Caenorhabditis elegans: one gene and its partners. The protein of the gene in region 4 interacts with the protein of the main gene of each other region in a pairwise test. Each region holds a gene or a part of one and is shown on either strand. Other genes may lie near its edges.

Evidence for each region.
Region 1: the proteins of uso-1 (region 4) and nhl-1 interact in a two-hybrid assay, tested with the Caenorhabditis elegans proteins (2 studies listed by BioGRID).
Region 2: the proteins of uso-1 (region 4) and famh-161 interact in a two-hybrid assay, tested with the Caenorhabditis elegans proteins (2 studies listed by BioGRID).
Region 3: the proteins of uso-1 (region 4) and vab-3 interact in a two-hybrid assay, tested with the Caenorhabditis elegans proteins (2 studies listed by BioGRID).

The regions. Positions count from the first base shown.
Region 1 is NC_003281.10:9,147,886-9,155,903, forward strand, and holds the start of nhl-1 (RING finger protein nhl-1), read right to left. Parts: upstream 6,018-8,018; 5' UTR 5,920-6,017; coding exon 5,878-5,919; intron 5,445-5,877; coding exon 5,335-5,444; intron 3,781-5,334; coding exon 3,639-3,780; intron 3,594-3,638; coding exon 3,250-3,593; intron 3,204-3,249; coding exon 3,044-3,203; intron 2,966-3,043; coding exon 2,882-2,965; intron 2,831-2,881; coding exon 2,706-2,830; intron 2,653-2,705; coding exon 2,518-2,652; intron 1,887-2,517; coding exon 557-1,886; intron 266-556; coding exon 140-265; intron 94-139; coding exon 1-93. Other genes in the region: Protein irld-34, read left to right, coding at 7,231-7,291, 7,683-7,786, 7,833-7,974.
Region 2 is NC_003283.11:20,529,162-20,535,740, forward strand, and holds famh-161 (Protein fam-161), read right to left. Parts: upstream 5,012-6,579; 5' UTR 4,881-5,011; intron 4,393-4,880; 5' UTR 4,327-4,392; coding exon 4,252-4,326; intron 4,208-4,251; coding exon 3,174-4,207; intron 3,097-3,173; coding exon 2,831-3,096; intron 2,624-2,830; coding exon 2,484-2,623; intron 2,340-2,483; coding exon 2,217-2,339; intron 1,958-2,216; coding exon 1,599-1,957; intron 1,359-1,598; coding exon 1,299-1,358; intron 1,250-1,298; coding exon 862-1,249; 3' UTR 535-861; downstream 1-534. Other genes in the region: Y38H6C.15 (uncharacterized protein), read right to left, coding at 5,640-5,765, 6,397-6,579.
Region 3 is NC_003284.9:10,498,129-10,502,922, forward strand, and holds the start of vab-3 (Paired box protein 6 homolog), read left to right. Parts: upstream 1-1,761; 5' UTR 1,762-1,977; intron 1,978-2,109; exon of another isoform or gene 2,110-2,165; intron 2,166-2,959; exon of another isoform or gene 2,960-3,066; intron 3,067-4,001; exon of another isoform or gene 4,002-4,107; intron 4,108-4,442; exon of another isoform or gene 4,443-4,583; intron 4,584-4,794.
Region 4 is NC_003282.8:13,451,772-13,456,717, forward strand, and holds the start of uso-1 (Uso1_p115_head domain-containing protein), read right to left. Parts: upstream 3,028-4,946; coding exon 2,926-3,027; intron 2,011-2,925; coding exon 1,915-2,010; intron 1,729-1,914; coding exon 1,573-1,728; intron 1,510-1,572; coding exon 1,265-1,509; intron 11-1,264; coding exon 1-10. Other genes in the region: Y38H8A.7 (uncharacterized protein), read left to right, coding at 3,735-3,824, 3,872-3,955, 4,025-4,118, 4,163-4,262, 4,313-4,364.

The DNA of each region.
Region 1 (8,018 bases), on a different chromosome or scaffold from region 4:
ACCATGAAAACCTTCCTCGCCGAATGAAAACAAATGAACACCGTGGGGATCGAATACGCTGATTCGATGATTCGAAGAATCTGATACATACACCTGAAACGATTCAGAATGATTCATGAATCTATCTGGAATCACTCACGTGATGAGTAACTCTGCTAACTGCTATGAACAATGGACTGTTTAGTTGACCAGGTAGATGTCCGAAAGATCCGAATTTTGCAATGAATTGACCATTTTTGTCGAAGACTTGGACGCGGTGATTATCCTATAATTTAAGCTTCACTTGTATTTTAGCATGTGGGGCAATGTTTTTTAAAATTTAATCTAGATCTGCAAAGCGGACCACAATAATGTCCGGCGTCCGAATTTCCAAAAAAAAAAAAATTAAAAAATGATACTCAAAATACCGGACGTCCGGTTTGCCTGCAATATATGAATCTACAAAAACAAAGTTCTTCTCTTGATGATAATTAATAAACAAAGTTAATTTTTATCAAAATGTATACAATTATGAACTTTCGCATTACTGAGAAACGTCTCATGATAGTTGACCTACCTTATCAGCCACATAGATACTTCCCAAATCATCGACAGCAACTCCCCATGGATTATTGAACTTAGCATTTCCCTGTCCATGTCCACCGAATGAGAACAAATGATCTCCTTCCAATCCAAAAACGGAAATTCGATGATTGTACCTGTCGGATACAATAACTCGGAGCTTTGAGCTTGCTAGCCCGGCAGCTGAATCAAGTTGTCCGGCACCGGCACCGTAGCCTCCGAACTGACGAACAAATTTTCCATCTTTATCGAAAACACAGACACGATGATTAGACGAATCACAAGTTGCGACAAGACCTCCGGACAATGCACAAATTCCACGTGGCCAGTTTAACTCGCCATCCTTCGCACCTTTTCGTCCGAATACTGCACGTGGTCTACCACGAGCCCTCCATTCACCAGCTTCACGAGAAGCGCTGCGGCCACGCTGTCGCAAAACGGCAAGCTTCTCTTTCTCTTCGTCGGTTGTCGTAGAAGAGTCTAAACGAGATTGACGTTCGGCGAGAAGCTGCTGCACTCGAGCACTTGTGAACTGTGCCTGTATGTCGGGATTTGTGCGCGAGCGTTGGAAGCGTTGCCTCCGACGCTGTAACCACGCTGGCACGACGATGTCACTTTCGTCTTCCTCACCTGTGAAATGTGTGACTGGAATCGCGACTTGTTCAGATGTCCCATTGGTGATCGGAGCGGATGCCGGAAGTTGATGTTGAGGTGGCGGAACATTTATGATCGTACCAGTTCCTGGGATCATACTCATCAGTCCATCATCACGGTTTACAGATGCCGCGCGACAAACTATTCGTATTCTACCGCGGTTGGTGGATACGGGAAAATCCTCTCCCTCTGATTCTTCACTTGAAACTGCTCTTGATGCAGCTCTAGATGCATCTTGACGTTGTTGATGAGCTCTACGGATGGTTTCCACTTTCTCATTCAAAGAATCATCGTTACTGGACTGTTGACGTGGCAGAGGTGGCTTTCGGATCGGAAGTTGTGGAAGTGGAGCAGGTGATGCATCTTCAGTCCTCTCAACCCGTTCAACAGATTGTGGTGGAAGAGGAGGTTTACTAGCTGGAGATACAGTTCTTGGTGTTTCAGTATTCGGAACAATCAGACTTGTTGGCCGTGACTTGGTTGGTTCAACTGATCGGGTGACACGATCAGCAGCCCACGGCGATGTTCGTGATGAAGAGTCCGCAGTGACTGATGTAGTAAGAAGAGAAGGAGCAGCAGATGAATTACGGAGACGATTCCAAGCTTCGTCTTCCAGCTGCTGACGACGACGGTAACGAATCGAGGACTCATCAGGCTCAGGATTTCGATGACTGAAATTAAAAGAGGATAGTTTAGAGAGGGAAACTGTATGGAGAAGTAATTGTGAGATTATACATTTAATAAATTATCCAAGCTAAATTGAACTATAACTTCAATAGATTTATGTCAAAATGCCGGTGCCAAATTTAATATTCATAAAGGGCGATCAATATGTGTTTGGCCAAAAAATAACCAAAATTGGATAGTAATAAACCAACATAAAAACGCGGAAACGCTTTTACTTTTTTGTCTAGCCGTTTTTCTTCAAAAATTCGAATAAAATTTTGAAAATAATTAACTTTTAAATAGTTTTTTAAATTGTCCGTTGCCCCTTTCTTAAATATTATTATTTTTATTGGCATGGCAAATTTAGCATCTTGACACAATTCTGGCGACCTCTAAGATATTTTAATGAATAAAACATAAATTGTACTATATTTGAGTGTAAATTGCAACAATAAGCCGTTACATAGAAAACTGAAAACATGAAGTCGAGAGCCAGAGACCGGACGTAGATTCATTTTGACACCTTAACAATGTTGATTTTCTATAATTAGTGTTCTACACTATACAACTAAACTACTTGACTAAAAATCACACGTTTGTTAATAAAAAACCAAAACCAATTCCCATGGAACATACCTGTGCCTTGAAGATGTCCTATCAGCTTCTCGATCTCTCATACTTGCTCTTTCGTCAGATTTAACCCGATAACTGTCACTTTCCAATGGTAAACGGAATGGTCTTGGAAGGTATGATTGTTCAAGAGGGAGGTATCTACAAAGTATTGACTAAAGATTTTCGTTTTTTTTGAAGTTTTTGAAATATACCTTCCCGAAAATTGAGGAACTAGAACACAAAGTTCACCAGAAGTAGTGATCGCTGCTGGAAGCTTAGCAGCATCATCTCCAGCTGAGAATCGGAGTTTTCGATTAAAAAGTTCGTCGGCGTCGGGCTAAAGCATTAATACAATAAGAAATGTTCAACAATTAAATTAAAAAGTTACCTGAAAGTTCCTAAGATATTCAAGCCCTTCCGTAAACGTGTTTTTCATTCGAACAAGTTCAGAATCTTCAATTGAACATTCTCCCTGAAAATTTTAAGATTTTTTTGTTATGATATCTTTTTGAAATTCTCGATAGCTTCAAAATATTCAATGAAATCCCACCTTGATTGCAGCATCCAGTCTAGAAACTGCTTCACTCATATTAGAACTTTCAATTTCCAGAACATCACGAAGATTGCTCATATTACGAGTCTCAGTAGCTTGAAATGTATCAACTTCCATGAGAAAGTTGTCTTCCTTCTTTTTCAGATCTCTCTGGTATCTGAATTTAATTTTTTTTTCGGGTTTTTATATCTTTTCAGACAAACCTGTGGAAATATTCTTTAATTTCTGCTTTTGTTGTCTCACAGTTCATTGTCATCATATCAACTCCTTTTGATAAATTATCCGATGCTTCCGTAATTCGATTGGCAAGCCGTTTAACCTGATTCAAAAGTCGCGACATGTCTCTTTTAAGCATATCCATATGAGTCTGTCGACATTCTTTACATGCTTTTCTATCACAATGTGCACATGGTTCACAGTCTGCTTTCTCATCACAAATCTTGCACCGTTCCAAATTGTACCTGTGAATGTACTCTTCAATTTCTGCAGCCGATTCTGGTGTGGCCTGCAGATGAATCTCGAGAAACCCGGTTAATGTGTAGTTTGGCTGAAAATGAAATATTTTGCTTCAAAGTGATACTTATTTTCACACCTGAAACGCCTTTACTCCGTCATATGGAATATTGTGTTCTGCTCGACATTCTGGACATTTCAAATTGCGATGTAACGTGTCTGCACAACTTTCCAAGCATGGATAGCAAAATGTGTGTTGACAAGGTAGAAGCTTGGGTTGTCTGAAAATAGTTTAAATCTATAACTTGATATTTAAAAGTTTAGCCATTCTGTTCAGCATTTATCTCTATAAAAATCAAAGCTCAAAGTATTACATTTCAACTACCAAGTTCTTCAGATGTCCAATGTCAATATCTCACGATTTCACAACTTTAAAAAATCATAAAAAGTCTCGTTTCTCTTTCTAAATATCTTTCAAAGAGATCACGTCCAGCAGGCTTCTTCGTTTCCTCATCGGTGTAATACACACACTTTGCAGCCCCATAGCCAATGGCAAAATAGTTGAGAACTGGCGGAGAATCCGATTGAAAAGTCTTCTCTTGGCTCCCTTCTCGATTGTAAAAAAGAGAAAAGAGAAAGTAGAGGAAAAGCCGTTCGACATGGAGATAGATACAACGGTGAAGCTGTTTCGAAATACTCTAACAATGAGTTGAGAACAACTGTGTGATTGATTTTGAAGTGTTTCATTGTTAAAAAGTGGATTGCCACCAGTTGAAATATTGTCATATGATTTCTAAGATTTCGAAAAAAATTCCAATCATCTATTGAATTGAAAAAAAAAATATTTGAAACGTTTCTTTTATCGCAGGAGGTATTTTTGTGAATTTTCAATGAGCACCGGGTTATAGCCCAAAAGCTAGAGCTTTTAATCTAAAAAATTGGCAAACTTATGATTAGGAAACTTCAATAAAAACGTTGAGTTTTGAAGATAATCGCCATTGAGAAAAAATGTTTAAAAACACTCCTAGTGGGCTAAAATACTACGCCAACTCTTCTTACTCGTCTTTCTCAAAAACAAAAAGATTTATAAAAAGTTAGCAAGATAAAACTTGAGAAATTAAACTTGAGAAGACAGAACAAGAAATGGCGAGTTGAAAAATATCATAGTATTACACCTTCTAAGCTTGAAAAACTTTACCCCTACGTTCACTAAATACAATGTTTGTCATGATTGTCTGAGGTCTCGTGCAAAGTTATTCAAATTTTTTACTTTTTTTTATTTTATTTTTGAGACTATAAGTGTATTATTCAAATATTTTACAAGAAAAGGTTCTCGTTTTTAAAATGGATGTTTACATTTGTTCATCTATAACAGATCAATGAAACATCTCTTTTTTTTAATGTTCCACTTTTTACTCTGACGTAGGTTAGTCTATATTTATTGACACAAACGTTGTTGATTTAACCCAAAAATGATCCTCATTTTTAAAAGATCCCTGCAGGATCTTAGATTGTTGATTTCTCCATAACGTTCTCCTAGCTAATCATCATAACAGTCTGTCTGATTTTATTATTGTTTTGATGCACAGTGCGTAAACAACCGGATGTTTATTATGCATCCCCTAAGTCTATCTCGTTTTTTCAAAAAAATTCCCCTCAGCCAAGCGGTACTTAGCCTAGGTCATATGATAACAGTGGTCAGTCAGAAGTCACACGGCCTATGTCTATCCTTGAACTACACACTAATAGTTTGTTTTGGTTGTCCGTGGTGCTTCTTCTTTCAATTTCGTCTGCTCACTTTCAAAACGAACAGCTGATTGAGATCACAGACTTACTTGTAGCGATCGAGACAAATCGGACACGTCAGCAACTGCTCGATCTTTTCGAGAGGATTCACAAAATCAGCTGGTCGACTCGATGGTGGACGTGACATCAGCTCGCGCATCTGAAAGAATCTATGGGTCATGTGGGTTAGAGATGATTGCACTAATCAACTAATCAATGTTGTACAGGGACTTAACTTTTTCTCAAAATCAGTGGAATAACTTTTCATTTAAAAAATAAAAACGTTACTTTAAAGTTGCAATGTCTATTTGAAATAAAGAAAATTTGTACAGCACCTATAGGGAGCTTAAACGAAATATAAAAATTTTGAAAATTGACAAAAATTTTAAATTTAAGTTTTAAAACTCAAAGGACCGTTATAGGGTTACCAATATTTTTAAGATAAAAAATTTCAATGAATGTCTCTAATAATTATTTTTTGTAGATGTTTAAAGTATATTTCATTTCCAGTTGTCCACAAAATTAATTTTTAAATGTTTGGAAAACGACGAATTTAAGATTTTCTTTAAAAAAATAAATTTTTTAGAACAAACCTTTTCGCGAGCTTCTGCTTCATTTTGTGGAGAACTGCTCATAAGGATTGAATTTTAGAAATATTGGAATTTCGAATTAAAAAAAAACAGGATAGAACGAGAAGACGAATCGAATATAATAATAAAGTGGGGTGTACTTGGAGAGTTGGGGATGAGTGTGCCGAGTGCTCCCGGGAGCCAAAAAAGATTTGAGACGCAGAGAAGTTGGAGAAAGATCTGGGGAGCAACAGACGAAAGACGCCCCCAGCCATCTCCTGCAAACACAGCGGCGGCCGATATCAATCGGTGTGCGTGGGGTGCGCGGATCGGATTTTGAAAAGTTCTTGGTTGAGTCTTTTACTGGTTTTTAGGCTTTGTTTGACTATTTACTCATAAGTTTTGAAACCGATGGGAATTTGAAAAAAAGATCAATAAGATATGAGGATATGAACGGCGGGAAGATGCAGCTGGTTTGTTGGTTCTCGAAGATTATGATAACTGTCCTGAACGTTGAAATATTTGAGAAGAAATTGACAAATTGAACTTCAGTATTTATTTTCAGAAGCTTGAAAGTGTAGATTAAAATTAGGATGTTTCTTTAAAACATAAAAATAGTCCGAAATTCAAAAAACCACAAAATAAAATCGAAAAATAAACCGCAGAAAAATGGAAATTCGAACTATTAAAACCGCGATTTTGAATTCCCTCCGAAATAAAAACTTTGACCAATCAGTGATTTGCTCCGCCCACTTTTCAACCAATCAGGACGATTGTGTAGAGTTTGAAGACGTTGAGTGGTTAGAAAATGGGCGTGGCTTATACTTTTGGAAGAAGTTTAAAAATGGAGAACAGTCACAATTGAAACTTGCCTTTTTGGTTTGTTCATTCTTTTTTATTTTTGTGGTATTTTCATAACACTTTGAGTATTTTTCTTTAAAGCACATTTTTTTAAACTTTTCAGGTAATTTGACGATTTGACAATTTCCCGAAATTCCTTTTTTTGTATTTAAAATCATGATTATTTGATTTTTCAAGCGTATGTATGTACTTATTTTGTCTTTTTTGTTGGTAAACTTTTGAAACTAATGATCATATAATTTGAATAAAATCTGAAAGTTCAGCATCCTGCTCTCTATAATTACGTAATCTTCAAAACTCCCACTAACCACCTTTCGACTATTTTTCATTAAAAAAAAACCAGCGAGTGCAGTAGCTAGAAGGCGTGCGAAATTCGCTGGTTACTATGACAATCGCTTTCCGGAGGGTGGGCGGAAATAATAAAAAATAAAGCAGTTTTTGAGTTGGTTAATCTAATCACAAGTTTTGTTTGTCTATCGTCTGGTTGCAACGAAAAAGAGTAACGCGCTGGAATTTATGCAATGGCCACTTATTGCCGCTCTTTTTACTCAGTTATATCACTTTGTAATTGGAGATGGTAAGTGAAAATGAAATAGTAAACATATTACTATTTTAGTTAGTTTTGGTTTAGAGACGAAATTTCGCAAAATGTTGGATAACAATTAAATTTATAAGAAATTACTACTCTCTTCTAACTGTCCAGCTTATCTCGGTTTTTTTTGGTTTTATCAAAAATTTGTTAATTGACAAAATACGCGCTAAATATTGATCTATATTCTGAAACAGTTTTTGAAACAGTTCACTTAAGAAATCCGAAATATGAGCCGTCAAAATAGAGAAATGATGGTGCAAGTCTAATAGGGAAAAAACTGCGTTTTAAATTTTATTTTCCAATTGCCAAATGCAAAAATCTTAAATATCATTCTAATCGGTAATACTTTTGATAACTTTGAATATATCATTTACAGATTGTTATTGCCCATTATGTGAGTTGGACAAATTACCCGACAACTGCACAACAATTCATGGACATATTCAAATGGGTCTCGAGTCAACAATGCCACCGTTTGAGGTTTTATTTATTCAAAACACTATAGGATTCCAATAATTTGTTTAAGATCGTTGAATACAAGCTGGAAAATGTCACAAAAATAGTTGGATGCATAACGATAGCCAACTCTGGTTTCACAAGTCTGTCACTTTTATCAAATTTGGAAATAGTTCAGTACTCACAAACTGGAAATTCTTCTACATGTTCCTGTATGTTCTTTTTGGAAATTTTGAAGACTTTGTAATTTCAATAT
Region 2 (6,579 bases), on a different chromosome or scaffold from region 4:
ATTGTGGAAATGGACATCGATGGAATTATGCAGCTATATGATGTGCAGCCGCAATTCAGGAAGTTCCAGCATGTTCCCGACTGGGAATACGACATTTCGTTAGTGAATCTTTTTGGCTTTAAAATAAAATCATTGATATCAAATTTTCAGTGAGTTCCCAGACAAGGAATTACAAATGTTCGACACTGACATTCCGGAAAAAGTGTTCATCTGCGAACTTTTGCCAACCTACATTGCCGGCGTGATTTGCCAGAGGGATCAACTTATTTTCCAGTCATGATTTTTCCAATTAATTTTTGTCAATCTTTCATTTAAAACGTTTAAAAATAAGAATTTAATATTAATTTCATATATATAATTTGATACATAGTTTCTTTATAGTTTCCACTTCACATAATGTTTGAATCAAATTAATCGTAACTTCTATAAAAGTTTAATATCATTAATTCTTCGAGATCTGGCGTGAAATTCAACATTTTTTAAAATTATGAATTAAAAAATTGTAAACAATTTTGGTGGACTTCAAAAATGAACTTTAATTTTATGGAGAATTTATTAAAAAATAAAACTGAATAAAAATCACCAATTTGTTCATAAATCGCAAAGAAATCACATCTTAAAATTACTCAAGAAAAACTGAAACTCCAGCATTTTACAATAAATCATTTTATATTAAAAAACAAATTTCGAAAATTTTACCCAAGAAATTAAAAAAAAGCACCTAATTTGAGTTAAGAACCAAAAAAGGAGCGGTCAAACGGAAAAAAAGTCTTACAAAATTTCGATTTTTTGGAAAATGCTGAAACTCTTTGAAATAAAAACTGCTAAAAGCCTAGTCAATTGAAAGAAAATAACAAGCATTTAAGCTTCCGAGGAAGATGAAGTGGATCGTGAGCTTGAAGATTTTGAAGACGTTGATTTTGAACTTTTTGGCTTTGAGCTTCTTGATGACCTGGATTCATTCTCGGATTCAGAACCACTTCCAGACTCAGATGGCGTGGAACTTCCAGACTTTTCAGACTTGTCTTCCGACTCAAAACTCTCTTCATAACCCTTGTCAACCACAAAAGTTCCACTTCCACTAACTTCTGAGCTTCTTCTCCCGATTGATTGCTGCTTTTCCTGGCTTTGGACCCTTTCTATACCTCGCCCCTTGGCGCTTTTCATGCGTTCCTCAAATTTTCGTTTTAGACGGTGCTCCTGCGCCAGGGCCGTCTGTTTTTCCATGATTAGCGGGCCGTTGAGCACTCTGAAATTTTTGGAAGGTTTTCAAAACTTCCGAAAATTATCAAACTAACCTCTGCTTCATCTCGGCCAGCTGCCTCATGTATTCTTGAGTTGTTTCCTGCTGTTGTTGCCTGAAAATCAGGAAACTGTTTTAACATTAAAAAAAAAGAACATGAGAAAAAGAGACGCAGACAGGCAGAGCGACACGCTGTCTGTGTCTCTCTCTTTTTTTTTTGAAATTCAAACCATTTTGAGGGAGTGACCGGTTATGCGTCTGCCCGTTTTCTGGAAAAATGTTTTTTTTGCTGAATTTGACAAACCTCAACGATTTTCAAATTTTGATAATATTTTTTAAAAATAACAAGTCTTACAGTTTCTGCTTTGTCCTCATCGCAATATCCTCCTCAGTTTTGCTCCGTGCTCCCAAAAACGAGGAAATCCTCTGCTTATTATCTTCAGCCCAGAAATTCCCGTTTTTTCCCGATTTTTCAGACTTTTTCAGCTCAATTTTTGCTCGGTTGAGCTCCTCGCGAAGTTGTGTTGCGTGAGTGCTGGGCACTCGATTTTTCGAGGTTTTCGGCAAGTTTTCAGTCGATTTTTTGAATGGTTTTGGAGCCTGTTCTTGACAATTTCCGTGTCTCGAAGTTGCTGATTTACTTCTGGATGCGAATTTGAAAGGTATCGGCACAGTGGAGGGTTTTGAATTTGTGTTACGAAAGTTATCGGTGATCTGGAAAAAAAATTATATAATCACCTATTTGTCTTCAAGGCGGCCTACGCCTACTCTGAGCCCCAATACGTGCCTACCAGGCAATATCGTGCCACGTAGAAAATTAGCATGCATCCATAGAATTTGCAAAATACATAGTTTTTATGCTCCAAAAAAAACGAAATAACAAAAAAGAACTACTTATTTGGGTTTTCTGAAACTTTACCAAAATTTAAAATTTCACTCAACTTTTTTTTAAATAACTAATTTTTAGACTCACTTTTGCATGGATTTTCTCAAAATCCGGTGGCGAAGTCCGCCGGTGTAGTGAGACGGCGGAGGCGTCCATAGTGCACCGCCCGTGACGTAGGTGATGGGTTAGGTTTGACTGGGCTCGGTGGCTCTGGAATGTTGAATATTCTGACAACGAATTTGTAGATGAATATAGATGAAACAAAACTAAATTTCTAAACCAAAACATTAAATTTTTTTAATTTTTGTTTCTAAATAAAATTATTAATTGTTCAAAATTTCTAATTTTGTTTACCTTAATTCCCTTTGGAGTAGTAGCTTCTTGAATAAGAATAGTCGCTCTCATAGTTGCACTGCGGCTTCTGGCATTTGGTTTCACTGGAATTGGTGAGATATATGTTGATGGAGGTACGTACCCGAGAGGTTTTATTGAAGCTGTAAAAAAATTTGGAATGGTATTTTTTTTTGAATTTGAATTCAACATTTAATTTGCGGTAGGCAATAATCAATTTCATAATGTTCCTTTAAAATTTAAATAGCTGACTATGAGAAAAGCTAGTAATTTTTCCGGTTTATTCCAACAAAAAAAACAGTTTTCCTAAAACTTTGCAAGAAATCCTAGTTTCAATGTAAAAACCATACCCAAATTTCCTTCACTCTTCGATCGGACCATTTCATTCTGAACTTCAAACTTCCTCCGAGCCTTCGCCGCCACCTTTTTCCTCATGGCTTCTACGTATTTTTGCTCCGTCGCAAATGTATTTGTAGGCTGATATGTTGATTTGGGGACAGGTTTTGCCCGAAATTTTGTGTTTTCCAATGCTTTCTTGGCGTCCTCCTCAAGTTTTTGCTTTTCCGTAATTAGGCCGCTCATGAACTTTTTTGCGTAAGTATTTCCAGTGGATTTTCTGAAAAAAAATTATAGTTTAGGTTACATCCAGAAGTCCGCAACTAAGTTGAAATACTTCCCTTGTAAGCTACTTACCTCAAGCTCAACTGAAACGGCTTCGGTACGGTAACCTGTGGTGTATACTTTGATAGCTGATGCATAGACTTGGATCGATTCTTAGAAAGCTTTAAGTCGCCCGCTACAACTTCATCCCGAATTGTTGGAACTTCCCGTGTCGTTGACATTCCGTCCTCTAAAAAACTCTCCTCAACAACGTGTGATGACGTGGCAAATTGTGGATTTTCTGACTTAGAAGATGCCACGTGTTTCGTATTACTAGAAGATAACAGTAACCCTGATGGCATGGCGACGGAAGTGGCGATGTGTGGTGCGGAGCTGAGGTGCCGGGTCGATGCGTTTGCCAAAATTTGCCGGACTGTTGCTGACGTGGCATTTCTTGTCGAATGATGACGTGACGCGCTGGATGTTCGATGACGTGGATTTTGGAGAGTTGATGATGTAGCACTCGGAACCTGTTGACGTGAATTTTGGTGGGTTCTAGAGCTTTGATGACGTGGAATTTGATGGGATGGCGTAGCATGAACCTGCTGACGAGGATTTTGGCCAGATAAAGCCGCTACACTTTGGACTGATGACGTAACAGAGACCTGTGATGGTGCTGTAGATTCGATATTGTGGTGCCGAGAGCTTTGATGACGTGGATTCTGATGGGATGATGTAGCATGAACCTGATGACGTGGATCCTCATAAAGTGCCTCGTGGCTTTGATTGTGAGCCAACGTGGCATACTCAGTTTGACTCCAAGACTGCTCCCTCGGAGGCTCCGGTGCGGCCCGAACAGGGACTCTCACTTCTGAAGATCTCGGTTTCAGATCTAGATGACGTGGCATTTGATAGTCAGAAGGAGAAGCTTCATCTTGAAAATGACAACTCGAAGATTTTGTCACCTTATAGCTCGACCTATGCTGTGTAATTTCTGATGACGTCATCATAGTTGGCAACGGTGGGGCGCCGAGCTTCTTGGCAAGGAAGTTGGTGGTCTCCTCGTGTTTTTGACGCAAAATTGAGAGACGCTTGATGAACTCCTCATCGTTGAGTAATGATGGGTCCTGGAACGAATTTTTTGAGGTACTGTAAGAGAAGCTGAACTTACATTTTGAAGAGCGTCTAGCAAGTCCGCTGTGGCTTGTAGATTCCTCAGCACTGGTGGATCTTTCGGTGGAGCCATTTTGTGGAATATTAGGAAGGAAATGCTAGGAAATATACGAAAGTTGTGGATTTTCCATGGGGAAATCTGGAACCATTTTTTTAATGAGTTTGTTTTATTTCAAATTGTGGTAGTTTCAACAAAGATTCAAAATTTGGTGAAATTTGTTCTACGTTGTTTTTTTTTATTTTTCAATAATTTCCTCTGGTGAAAAACCTAAGCCTAATCCTAATTGTAAGCCTATAATACTAATAAATTTTGGCGCAAAAGTCAAATAATTTCCAAAAAATGTATGAAGGAAATTAAAATGGAAAATTTTAAATTTTTTTGAAAAAATTTGCATTTTAACAACTTTTAACGTCACTACGGAACACAAATTTGCTGAAATTTTTCCAAAGAGAAATTTGAATTCAAATTTTTCAATACAAAACATATATCTTGAAGATAAATTTTTAATTTTTGACAAAAAAGATTTTGCAGGAAATTTACATGCGTATTTTTAAAATAAATACGTTTGAAAACAAAAATTGTTTGAAACCAGCAACAAAAAAAAACATACAAATTCAAAAACTTACAGGAAATATACGACTACTACTACTGCCGTCAAAAACTTCTAGAGCATGTCTTCAGAAATATTATTTTCCGAAATAAATGTGTTCTCAAAATTGAGTAGAACACAAAAAGCGGGAGAGAGAGAGCAATCCGAGAAAAAGAGTTTGACAGGAGTGAGGCCCAGGTTGTTATGGAAACGTACGGCAGGTGGTAGTAGTTGTTGGTGAAGATGGGTGGCTCGGAGGGAGAGATTACGAAATAAAAGGGTAGGGTGTGGTGCATAATTAACGCGAGACAGCTTGAGATGGAATTCAGGAAATCGTTAATCTCATCTTCTACCTCCCCTTTTATTAGTACTACTAGTGGGAACTTTGTAGGTATCCAGACCTATGTAGGTCGACAACAGGGGCGAGCGGCAATTTTTTCGTCGACAAATTCGGCAAATCGGCAAATTGCCGGTTTGCCGATTTGCCGGAAATGTTCAATTTTGGCAATTAGCCGGTTTGTTTAATTGCCGAAAATTTTCAATTCCGGCAATTTTCCGGTTTGCCGATTTTTCGGTTTGCCAATGAAACTGGAATTTACAAAAAAAAGTGCAAAACAACAATTTTCCGAAAATTTTCGGCAATTGCCGTTATTCCAGCAAATTCCGGCAATTTCGAGATTTGCCAATTTGCCGGAAAATAGAAAAAAGTTGAAAACCAATAAAATGTCGAGGAGAACATTTTTCGTCAAAGAAATTTTATTTTTAATATCAAAAATCATTTATTCCACATACTAGTCTACTTCTTTTTATCAGTCTTATCCTTCTTGAAAGTCTTTTTCTCCGTCTTCTTATCGCCATCCTCTTCAAGTGTGGGGTACTCGTCCGTTTCAGGTGTGACAATAGGATCTGTGACAACCGCGTTCTGAAAATTCAACGCTAAGTTATGAAGGTTTAAGATGTTTAATTTGACCGGAAAACTATGCTCAGGCAAGCCCTCATTTACTAGTGTTTTCATTTACTTGAACGCTGGTTGATTGCCATCTAGCAGGTGAGCCTGTGGAGATACGCAGACCGCGGTATTGTCTCCCTGATTTTTTTAGGAGTCGGCGTCGCTTTGTGGACATCTCTCTTTTGTCCAATTTGTTTTGTGCAAGCCAGATAACAGATAACATCTCCTTACTAACAGAGAAATGGATGTAAGTAACATTAACGATGTACCAAGTATGCTGATATATCAGCATAGTTGGTATGTTTACAATTTTACCATCCAACCTTTATGACGTTTTGTGGCGAAAACATTAGTAAATGAGCGTCAAAGGGATTGAGCCATTGTTAGGGATTTCAAGTAAATGAGCACGCTAGTAAATGAAACGAGTCGTTTGGTGTGTACTCAATGTAGTGAGAAAAGATTGTTATTTGAAAAAAAGCGGTAGCCACATTCCCAGTTCCGCGCCGCACTATACATACGGATACATGCGGCATGAGTGAGTCCGGCGCCGGCGTCGTTGCGGCGACCTCATATAAGCCCAATTTTCCAAAAATTCTCAGCTTACCTTGTCGCCCTCGCGAAGCTTCGATTGAACTGGAACAGTCTTCTCCTTCGCTTTTTCCTTTTCCTTCGGCTTCTCCTCTTCGGTCAATTTTTCCGGTTTTTCAGGCTTATCCTCACTCGATACTGTCGTCTTTTTCTTGGTTTTGTCCGATTTTTTCGAAAGCTTTTCCGCTGACTTTTTGGA
Region 3 (4,794 bases), on a different chromosome or scaffold from region 4:
TTATTACAGAGTTTTAATAAATCAAATTGTCTATTGTATGTAGTTTTTTTTTTGGTTTTACATTTACTGATTATTAGATTAAAATTAAATAATTCAATTTTGAAAATTCAGAAAAATAGTTTTGACATCCTCTACTACCTTTTTTTCTCATTTTATCTTTAAAAAATTAATTCAGGGCGATCATTCCCGCCAAATACGGACATGAATCCCATTTGGTTACCAAAAAAGTGCGGCGGCTGTCGTTGAAAATAAAAAAATCCAAAAAGTGGGAAAACGACATCTTCTGTTCACTCATGCGTACAGAATCTCCAAAAACATTTCGCCGTATTCATTTTTGGCGTGATGTACCACATATGACTTGGTCCAGATAAAGGTACTGGTGTAAATTTGTCTGTTGTGTAATCGGCATTTGACGCTAGCTTCTTGCCCAAGTTTGGCAAAAAATTTCAACTTGAATCACAACACGATAAGCTTGGTTTGGACTGTGTTTAAGTTTACGCCAAGTTTGATCCAAATAACAGTTTTTAAATAATATTTTTTTTAATTTTTGGGAAAAACGCAGGTAACGCCAAATGCCAAGTATAATTATTTTTAGACAACCGTCTAAAATTTGGAAAATATATTTTTAATACAAAAAATCTTACTCCGAGATTGATAAATGTGGAAATTTTGTAAACTACGATAAAAAATGCAAATTATTCTTAGTGTGTCAATAAAATTTTTCTATTTACTTTTCACAGTCCCAGTACTTGTTTCCTGCCAGATTTTCTCAAATAGGACTGACACCTGAAGCGGAATAATTTGCTATTTGACTTCCGAGCCCTCGAATTCTGGCGGGCGGTCCAACAAGAAGAACCCTCAATATTCCGTTAGTTATTTGTCGTCTCTGAAGACTTTATTGTCGGATGCAGCGATACCGTAGTCCGAAGAAAAGAATAGAAGAAACTGACAATGAATGGAGAAGTGGAGTAAAGCCAGCTACAAGCAGGGCAGAAAATATAAATGAATAAGTAAAGAAATCAGTTACAGAAAAGTGACATTAAATTTTTTCCACGTATCAAATTATGAAAATTATTCATAGCGAGGTTTTTTAAATGTTTAATTTGCAGTTACACTGCTTGAATCCGAATATCGATGCGGTTGCATTAATATTTATGTATAAGGAATCATCAAAAATAAAAGCAGTAGCTGATTAAAACTTATTTTTAAATCAGATATGTGGTGCATCTCCTTTTCAGAAACCAAGTAGTTTTGTTCGATCTGTTAAATTCTGTTAATCACAATGGTTCAGAATGTCTGTAAACATGCTTAGAAAACTAATGAGGTCGGTGGAGCAGAAAGTCTGTGAAAACTTCTAATTGGAATCAGGTGCTGGCAGTGAAATCACAAAATATCTTGGTCTGTACACCGGGCAAGAGCATGCCTACACCCCGCGAGTTTGGCATGGCTAATCCCTTGTTTGACAGATGTTCAGGGGGAAGGAGCTACCACTGAATAGTTTCCACGTGAGTAGAAATTGATTCATGTTCATAACATTGATGGCAATGTATTCGAGAAACAATGCCCATCTGCCACAAGTTGCAAAAGGTAGATTGTGAATAAAGCTGCGCATAATCCATAGAGAATATGAATGAAAACTCCGCCCATTTCAAAGAAGACGATTGGCCCGAGAATAGAAGCAAAAAGTCAGCGGTGTCCTAGGTGAGACAACGGAGAAAACGTGTCCGGGCGCGGCTCTTTTCAATTGTGGACCGAGAGGGAGAGACGTCGACGTCTTCTTTTTATGTCACACTATATCGTTGAAATAGTTTCGCGCTTTTTTGTTCTGTCCCCCGAAAGTTTGTTGGACAGTTAGATACTGAGGATCTCTTATTCTAACACTTCCAATATCTACACTTACACTAAATTTTACGCTACACAACACCAAAATCCGCGAGTATTCAAATAGTGACGGTCGAGTTGACAAAAGTGAACGTGGTGAGTTAAACTCTTGTTGGGTAATGAGTTAGCAGAAAATCAATAAGATGGCGAGCACTTTCAGATGGGCGTGCTAATGAGGTGGGCATGGGCTAGAAGTAAGAACTACCCTTCTTCGTCGGCATATATTTTCTCATTTCAGTCTGTTGCCTTTCTGCTGATTATCATTAGACTTTCTTGTTGAGTAGATAAATTTTGATGCCTCATTGACAATCATAAATAATAGAGAAACAATCGATATTGTCATAATGATAACAAACTAAGTAGGAATAATGTAGAACTGGTTATATTTTGAATAATTTCAAAACTCTTTGGTCTTTAGGCTAAATATAGAAACCGAGTCCTTCTCGAAACATTGATGTCGTGGGCTGCTATCATGTGTCTCCTATGACTTCAAACTTTTCTGAAATTACGTTACCTAATTTTTTTGAGCTTTCATGTTGTATCACAAAAATTTTTCATTCTGCTATAATTTTTCACAGATAATTGTTTGGTTCTAAATTCTGGGCAAAGTTTCAGAATATATTTTGAACTTTAGAACTGAATTCTTGAGCATTTCTGATTTAAAAAATCTTTTTGAACTTTTGCTACAACTTCTTTTCTCTACCATAAAATGTTTTCAATCTTGTTCGATGCTTCTACAAAAACTCCAACATCAGGAGCCATGCTTTCTCCTCCCACTTATGTTATTCATTGTGTATGTACATCCGCATGTGTCCATCATTGACTCCAAATTCCATTAGCCATCTACCGTATCTGGATTTCCGGTGTGTGACGCCGACTCCATGGCCAACACAGAATCATCGTAATTCTCCCCGCAATCTACATATCGCTACTCCAATTTTCGAATTTTGCCCCGTGTTGCAATTCCAATGCATTCAATCAAATTTAAAAGTTTTGATGATTTGTCTACTCATTTTTCCCACCCGTTCCGTTTTCTCCATGTTCAACATTTTTGTCGCCACCACCATCACTGAGAGGGGTTTTTGTAATTGGCTTGAATTGACACCCATTAACCGGCACACCCGCTGTTTGGAAGATGTCATAACGAAAACGTCGTTTGATGGAGGTCTTTGTCCGCGCCTTGTTTCCCTGTCCCTATAGTTGAAGGTGTTCGCCATCAGGCACCACTACTTTTTTGGCGCCCCTCTCTTTTTCTCTCTCGTCAGTGTCAAACGAGTAGTTGAAAATTGTGCTATTCCAAATTACATGGAGCCCCACTCCTCTGACCCGAAAGCCTTTCCATCAAATTTCGTTTTAGTAGATCTTTTTAACTTGTCATTATGCTCCTTTGGATAAACGATTTGGCTCACAGGCAAAGCATTTTCAACTGTGGGGACATTCCGGAAACACTTAGCCAATTGATAATGACAGTCCATCGATGAGTTATAAGATATGTTATCAGATGTACAAATCTGACACCCATACAACAGTCCTCACCTCGCTCTCGTCGTCATTCAGTTGCCAAAATCGTCATGCCTACTTCCAATTATGCAACTTTATCTTACGGGAAAATCTAATAACTTTTGCATTTCAGCTATGGCACACATGTTCAAGACATATTTTTAAAAAGTGAAAAGGTTGTCGGGAATATATAAAGATAAGGTATTGAAACTTTGGAAGCCCACGTTGAGACACTGTAAATAAACATTCACATTCACAATTTTTATCGTAGTCACTAATGTCTTGTTCCTTTAAAAAACATTTTCAATTTGCGGATTACAGAGGAACTAACTTCAAAAATTAAAAAAAAATCATTGAAAACGTTTTCTAGAATTACTTTTATTGAGTTAGAAAAGTAGAATCATGCGCAAAGTTTTTAAATTGATGTGCAAGAAAAAATTATCTTTAAGCCTAAAAAGCAAAATCCAATTTACGACACTTCCAAACGACAGTAAAAATTTTAAAAATTCAAAACTTCTCTTTTTATTTTTATCCGCAATCTTTGAATCACCAAGACCACTATTATGAGCAACTTCAAACAAAAAAGTTTATGAGTTCAGATGTAGTTCGAGATACTGAGTCATGAGCCTTCTCCTTTTCGTTCTCAAGATTTTGATCTCCTCAAACCGAGCTGGGTCCATTTCTACAGCATTGTTCTATTCTTTTGTCAAATTGGCTTTTTTAACCCTTTCTTACCTGCCGAGGCCTTCTTTGTTACCTTCCGATCACCACATCTCGACGGTCCTCCCCTCTTTATCTTACTTGCTGCTAATTACGTGTTCTCGTCAGTCGGCTCCAGGCCCGGATTAACTTTGACTACAAAACATATGTCGTTTGTGTTGTCTCGCTGCTGCATCAATTCTGGGTCAATAATTTGTGATTAGCTACCACCTCCGGTCTAATTAAGGGCTCCACAGGTTGAGGCAGCTCACCTTCTGTTGTTCTTGTTTGGTAATACCAAAGCATCTATGTAGTTAGACTTTTGTAAAAGATTATGAATCAGTGAATCAGTACTTGCAGACAACTGAAAAAGAGTACATGCTTACTTTGACGTTAATGGAACTTCTAGAAGTATCAGATAATGTATTAGAAAATAGGTACCTGATTATCATATGGGCCAGTGACTCGGAGACGAGTGATAAAGTATCACATGTAACTGAGCATGTAGTACATGTACCCTAGAAATCCCACCTTCCATCTCACCTTTTTCGGGTCTTACTTCTGTTATTCTTTTTTAGTTTCCATAATTCACTCAAAACCGCTCATTACCATTACCACATTACTACTTCTCCGCTATATGCATTTGATATTAGACACCAACTATTGTGACCGGTGTCTTCAGTCTTTTCCCGCAATGGAGTAGGTGACTGTCAT
Region 4 (4,946 bases):
AATTGCAGTTCTGAAATAGTAAAATACAGATTTTTGAAATAATTTATAGAAGGATTCGGGGGGTTTTTGCTCGTAAAGACTCAAAAATGAGCTCAAATGGACGAATTTCGTAATAGAACTGCTCAAGAAATTTTCAAAATTTTGTATTTTTTATGCCGGTTCAAAATTTCGAAATATTATATAATTACACTGATTTTAGCTAAATGCTCGAACTTCGGCCATTTTTCCGTGTTCCAGCTGTCCGAAATTGACTTTTTTGGAATTGTCATCCTTTTTTTGCATATTTTGGTAGTTTATATCATTTAATTTCGTTTATTAAAGTACATTTAAAGCCTATAAGTAGCCAAAAATCATAAAAAACGGTTACCTATCGTCTTTAAATGTACTTTAACAAACGAAATAATATGAGATAAAGTACCAAAATATTCAATAAAGGACGAGAATTCCAAAAAAGTCAACTTCGAACCGCTGCGACACGGAGAAAAGGCCAAAATTCGAGATTTTAGCTAAAATCAGTGTATTTTTTCGAAATTTTGAACCGCCATAAAAAGTTTTTCAAACATTTTCGAGCAGTTTCAATACGAAGTTCGATTATTTGAGCCCATTTTTGGGGGTATACGTTCAAAATCGTCCGAAATCTTCCTTAAAGGAGGATTCGGGGGAATTTTTGCTCGTAAAAATTAAAAATGCGCCAAAATACACTAATTTTGAAGATATAATTCTCAAAATTTCTGAAAAACGGGCTAATTTCAGTTAAAATCTCCAATTTTATCAATTTTTCCGCGTTAGGACTGCTGCAATGCAGTTTTTATCGAATTTTCATATTTTATTTGATCTCACGTTATTTCGTTATTAAAAGCAAACACCAAAGATAATAAAAAATCGGATACCAAACCAAAAAAAAAATGCAATAAAGACTGTATTTATACTGTTGTAACGCAAAAAAAGGAGCAAAATTGGGGATTTTGCCTAACATCAGGTGTTTTTAATTTCGAAGATTGTCTCGCAACAGCCGGAAATCGATTTAATTCAATTATAATCATATTTTGCCGTTTTTTGAGGAATTTTCAGTCGATAGGCCCCTTATTCAGTGCCTTTGGCCTGAAAATGTATCTCAATCGGAGAAAATACGGATAAATTAAAAAGAAAATTAATTTGCGGTTGTTGTGACACCGATAAGTTGACGAAATTGGAGATTTTAGCTGAAATTAGTGAATTTTTTAAAGCATCTTGATTTTTTTCTCGTTAATTTCGGAATAAAAACCTTCGAACTCCAATATCGAATTGTTCAACGGCGCATAAAACTGAAGAAATGAAGCCTTTTCGTTTAATCATCACTTCGGCTAATCGTTCTCCTAATTCATCGGATTCTGAAGAATCGTCGTCTGTTGACAAAACGATTGCCATCGTGTCGAGCACAATTGTCATGGCTTCGGTGTTCATGCGATCTGTTTCAAGCACGTCAATGAATGCATTCATTCCCATTGTTCCGACGGCTAATCGATATTTCTGAAATTACACGTTTAATTTTAATTGTTTAATTTTAATAGTTCAAATGATTTTTTCTCTCACCTTTGCGACACCTTTCAGCCCTCTCAACGCATCTCGACGGTCTTCTGGTGCCGTACAAGTTTCTGCTCGTTCCACAAGTGTTTCTACATATTCAGCTCCATTATCCTCGTCTTCATCTTGCTGTCCGCCGCCAAAAAAGTTCCGAAACAGCGACATCTGCAAAGCTACACGTGGCAGTGAGCGGAAAATGGGATTGTCGTGTTGTTGAGCGAATATAAATGATAATTAAATGCATTTTTTAATTTAATTTATTTATTTCTAAATATTTTTCTTTATTTTCTGAATTTTAACATAAAATAAATGAAAAAAAACGGGAAAAAAAGAAGAGAAAAGTGGAAAAACCTGTCGTGGAATTGGAGGATGCGTTCTCAATGGAGCGCGCTTGCTGACTCTTTTCGGACTTCGTTTTTTCGCTTGCAGACGTTGACGGAAATTGCTCTGAAAAAAAGATCTGCTCAAAAAGTGAATAAAACAAATATTTCAATTGTTTTAATAACAAAATTTGCATATTCAACTGAATAATAATTATACTGAATTCAAGAATTTCAAAAAAATTGGAGAAAGTTTGGGAAACAGATGGAAATTTTCAATAAAATCGTCGAGAAAACATTTTCTGTCAAAATCCGGATTAAATCCAGAAAGAAGAGTACCAGCTGCCCACGAAAATTTCGGGTTTTCCCCCAAAAGAACAGTCTTGAGTCCTGACACGATCGAAACTTTTCAGCTAAATACCGTACACGTGGCTCAAGCCAGTGGTCACGGTGTTTTATTTTATACTCATACCCAACATTTTGCGATTTTTGCGCCAAAAATACGGTTCCTGGTCTCGACACGACTTTTTTTTTGTTATATTCAAACCAGGGCGCGCCTTTAAAGAGTACTGTAATTTCGAACTTTCGTTGTTGCAGGGTTTTCATCGTTTTTTCATAGTTCTTCGTTAAAAAAGGCTGTTTTTATTTTGTAAAAAACTGAAGTAAAACAATTAAAACACATAAATTTTAAGAAAAACAATGAAAAGTCGAATAAAATGCCGCAGCGACAAAAGTTTAGAATTACAGTACTCTTTAAAGGAGAGCACCCGTTTCCATGCAACGAAAAATTGTCGTTTTGAGACCAAGAACTACCGTATTTTTCGCGCAAAACACATAAAAATTGCAAAATTTCCCGTCTGGCTAATATCTTTAATAAATATAAAGCATAGATTTTTTATAAATTGACAGGCTATTTTCAAATATTAAATTAAAAAAAAACAAAAATCAGCGCTAATATGCTCAATTCAAAATTTTTTAAATTGAAAAACATTGGTTAAAAGTAGAAATAACAATAAATCAATATATTTTGCAACAACTTTACCTGAGGCAAATTGAAAAACGCATTGGAAATTGTCGTGTCACTGGAAAACGATCTAACTGAAAGAGTTGATCCGGTAATTGAAGACGTTGAATAAGCGAACATTTCGATTGAATAAAACTATCGGCTCAGAGAGTGTTAGAGTGCGTAAAAGTGTAATGTAGGAAGAGGGCACATTGAGTGAGTTGATCGGGAGAGAAAAGTGAAGAGAAAACGGATAGAATAACAGAATACTGTTACTTCAAAATGTTTTGATTACGGGTAATGTATACATTTCGATATATATTAGCTTTCAGGCAAATCAACAAATTACTGGAATTGAAATTTCTGGCAAACTTTATTTTATTTTATTTCAATGTGTTTCAATGTTCAAAAAAAGAAAAATTTCCGAATATACTTCAAATATAATTCAAATAAATGCCCAAGTTAGAGTACTCAGATAAATCGAACCACGCAGGCACCGCTCCAAACCACGCAGGTGACTGCCCACCACGCAGTCAACGCGTCAAGACCACGCAGGCAACCAAAAGCACGCAGGTGACGCCTAGGAACCACGCAGGCGACTTGACGGTGGGCAGCTATTGGCAGTGGCTGCAAAACCACGCAGGTGACGCCTACATACCATGCAGGCAGCCAACGTTCAGCCACGCGCGGGATTCCTAGGCCAATGGCTGCGTACTCCTCTTGGACAACTTTTTCTTCTATTTTTTTTTCCTAATTTAATGGAATTTTCCGTTTTTTTTCTTGCAAAAAGCACTTTTATATTAATTTTCAATTTCTTCATGAAACTCAATAATTGTTTTCAGGTAAATATGTCAACCCCGGCCCGAAAAACCCCAAAAGGAGGCCGAAAGCGGCGTGGCAATGGACTGGAGGCGCCGCATTCGATTGGTCGCTTCAACGTAAGATAAACTTTATTTTTAAAAAATATATAGCAACAAAATTTCAGAAAAAACCTTCGGAATCGTTCGTTCGAACTATGGACTGGGATTTCAAAGAGCTTAGGAAAATCGCGGAAAATTCCAAGTCAAAGGTGAACAGAAGTTTGGCAGCTGCACAAATTCTCCAAATCCAGATGTAGTTAAAATAGTTCACTTTTCAGACAATTCCTCCAGAGCTCCTCCACACCTTCAGTGTCCACCCAAATTCGGTGAATCATCAGATTCTTCAAGGAAGACTTCTCAATTGTCCTATCAGTAAGCTATTCTTGTCCAATTTTTTTTTAAACAAAAATTTTCAGGCGTTCTTCACAATATTCTACATGTTGTAGCCGGATTCGAAGGACAGTTCCCGAGTGCGGATTTTGGCGATGTTTTCTCCCGACAGGTGGATCAAAAATGGTAAACACCCTTCTATCAATTTGTATTTCCAAAAATCAATAATATTGCAGCTTGAACGCACGGAAAAAGATGAGCCAGGAAAAGGACACACCATCACACTGATCACTGGGACGAAAACAACTGCCTAATGGACTTAATTTTGTTTCCCACCTTTTTTTGTTGTTATTTTTGAGATTTTCGTACTTTGCGTTTTAGATGGTTAAACGGTAGGAAGGGGAAGGAGCGGGCTGCGAACTGCCATTGCTGCAAGACCACGCAGGTGTCGCCTCCAAACCACGCAGGCAACGCGTTGAAACCACGCAGGGACTGGCATTCTTGAGCGTGGTTTGTACGCGTTGCCTGCGTGGTTTGGAGCGGTGCCTGCGTGGTTCGGTTTATCTGAGTAGTAAATTTTAAGGTCTTTCAGCATATACCAATAATATTCCAGTAGGTACAAGAAGCTTCACGTAGTTACAGAAATAGTACATTTTCAGCCCTACCTTTTAGTGCGTATTTTATTATTTAATGAAAACTACCATTTATAGGCAAAAATAGATGAATTTTCCAAACTTTGAAAATTCATAAATCTTTTGAAAGTAACTTTTTTTGAAATGTCTTTCAGAAACTTTGTAGTAAATTTTAAGCTCTTTCAGCATATACCAATAATATTCCAGTAGGTACAAGAAGCTTCACGTAGTTACAGAA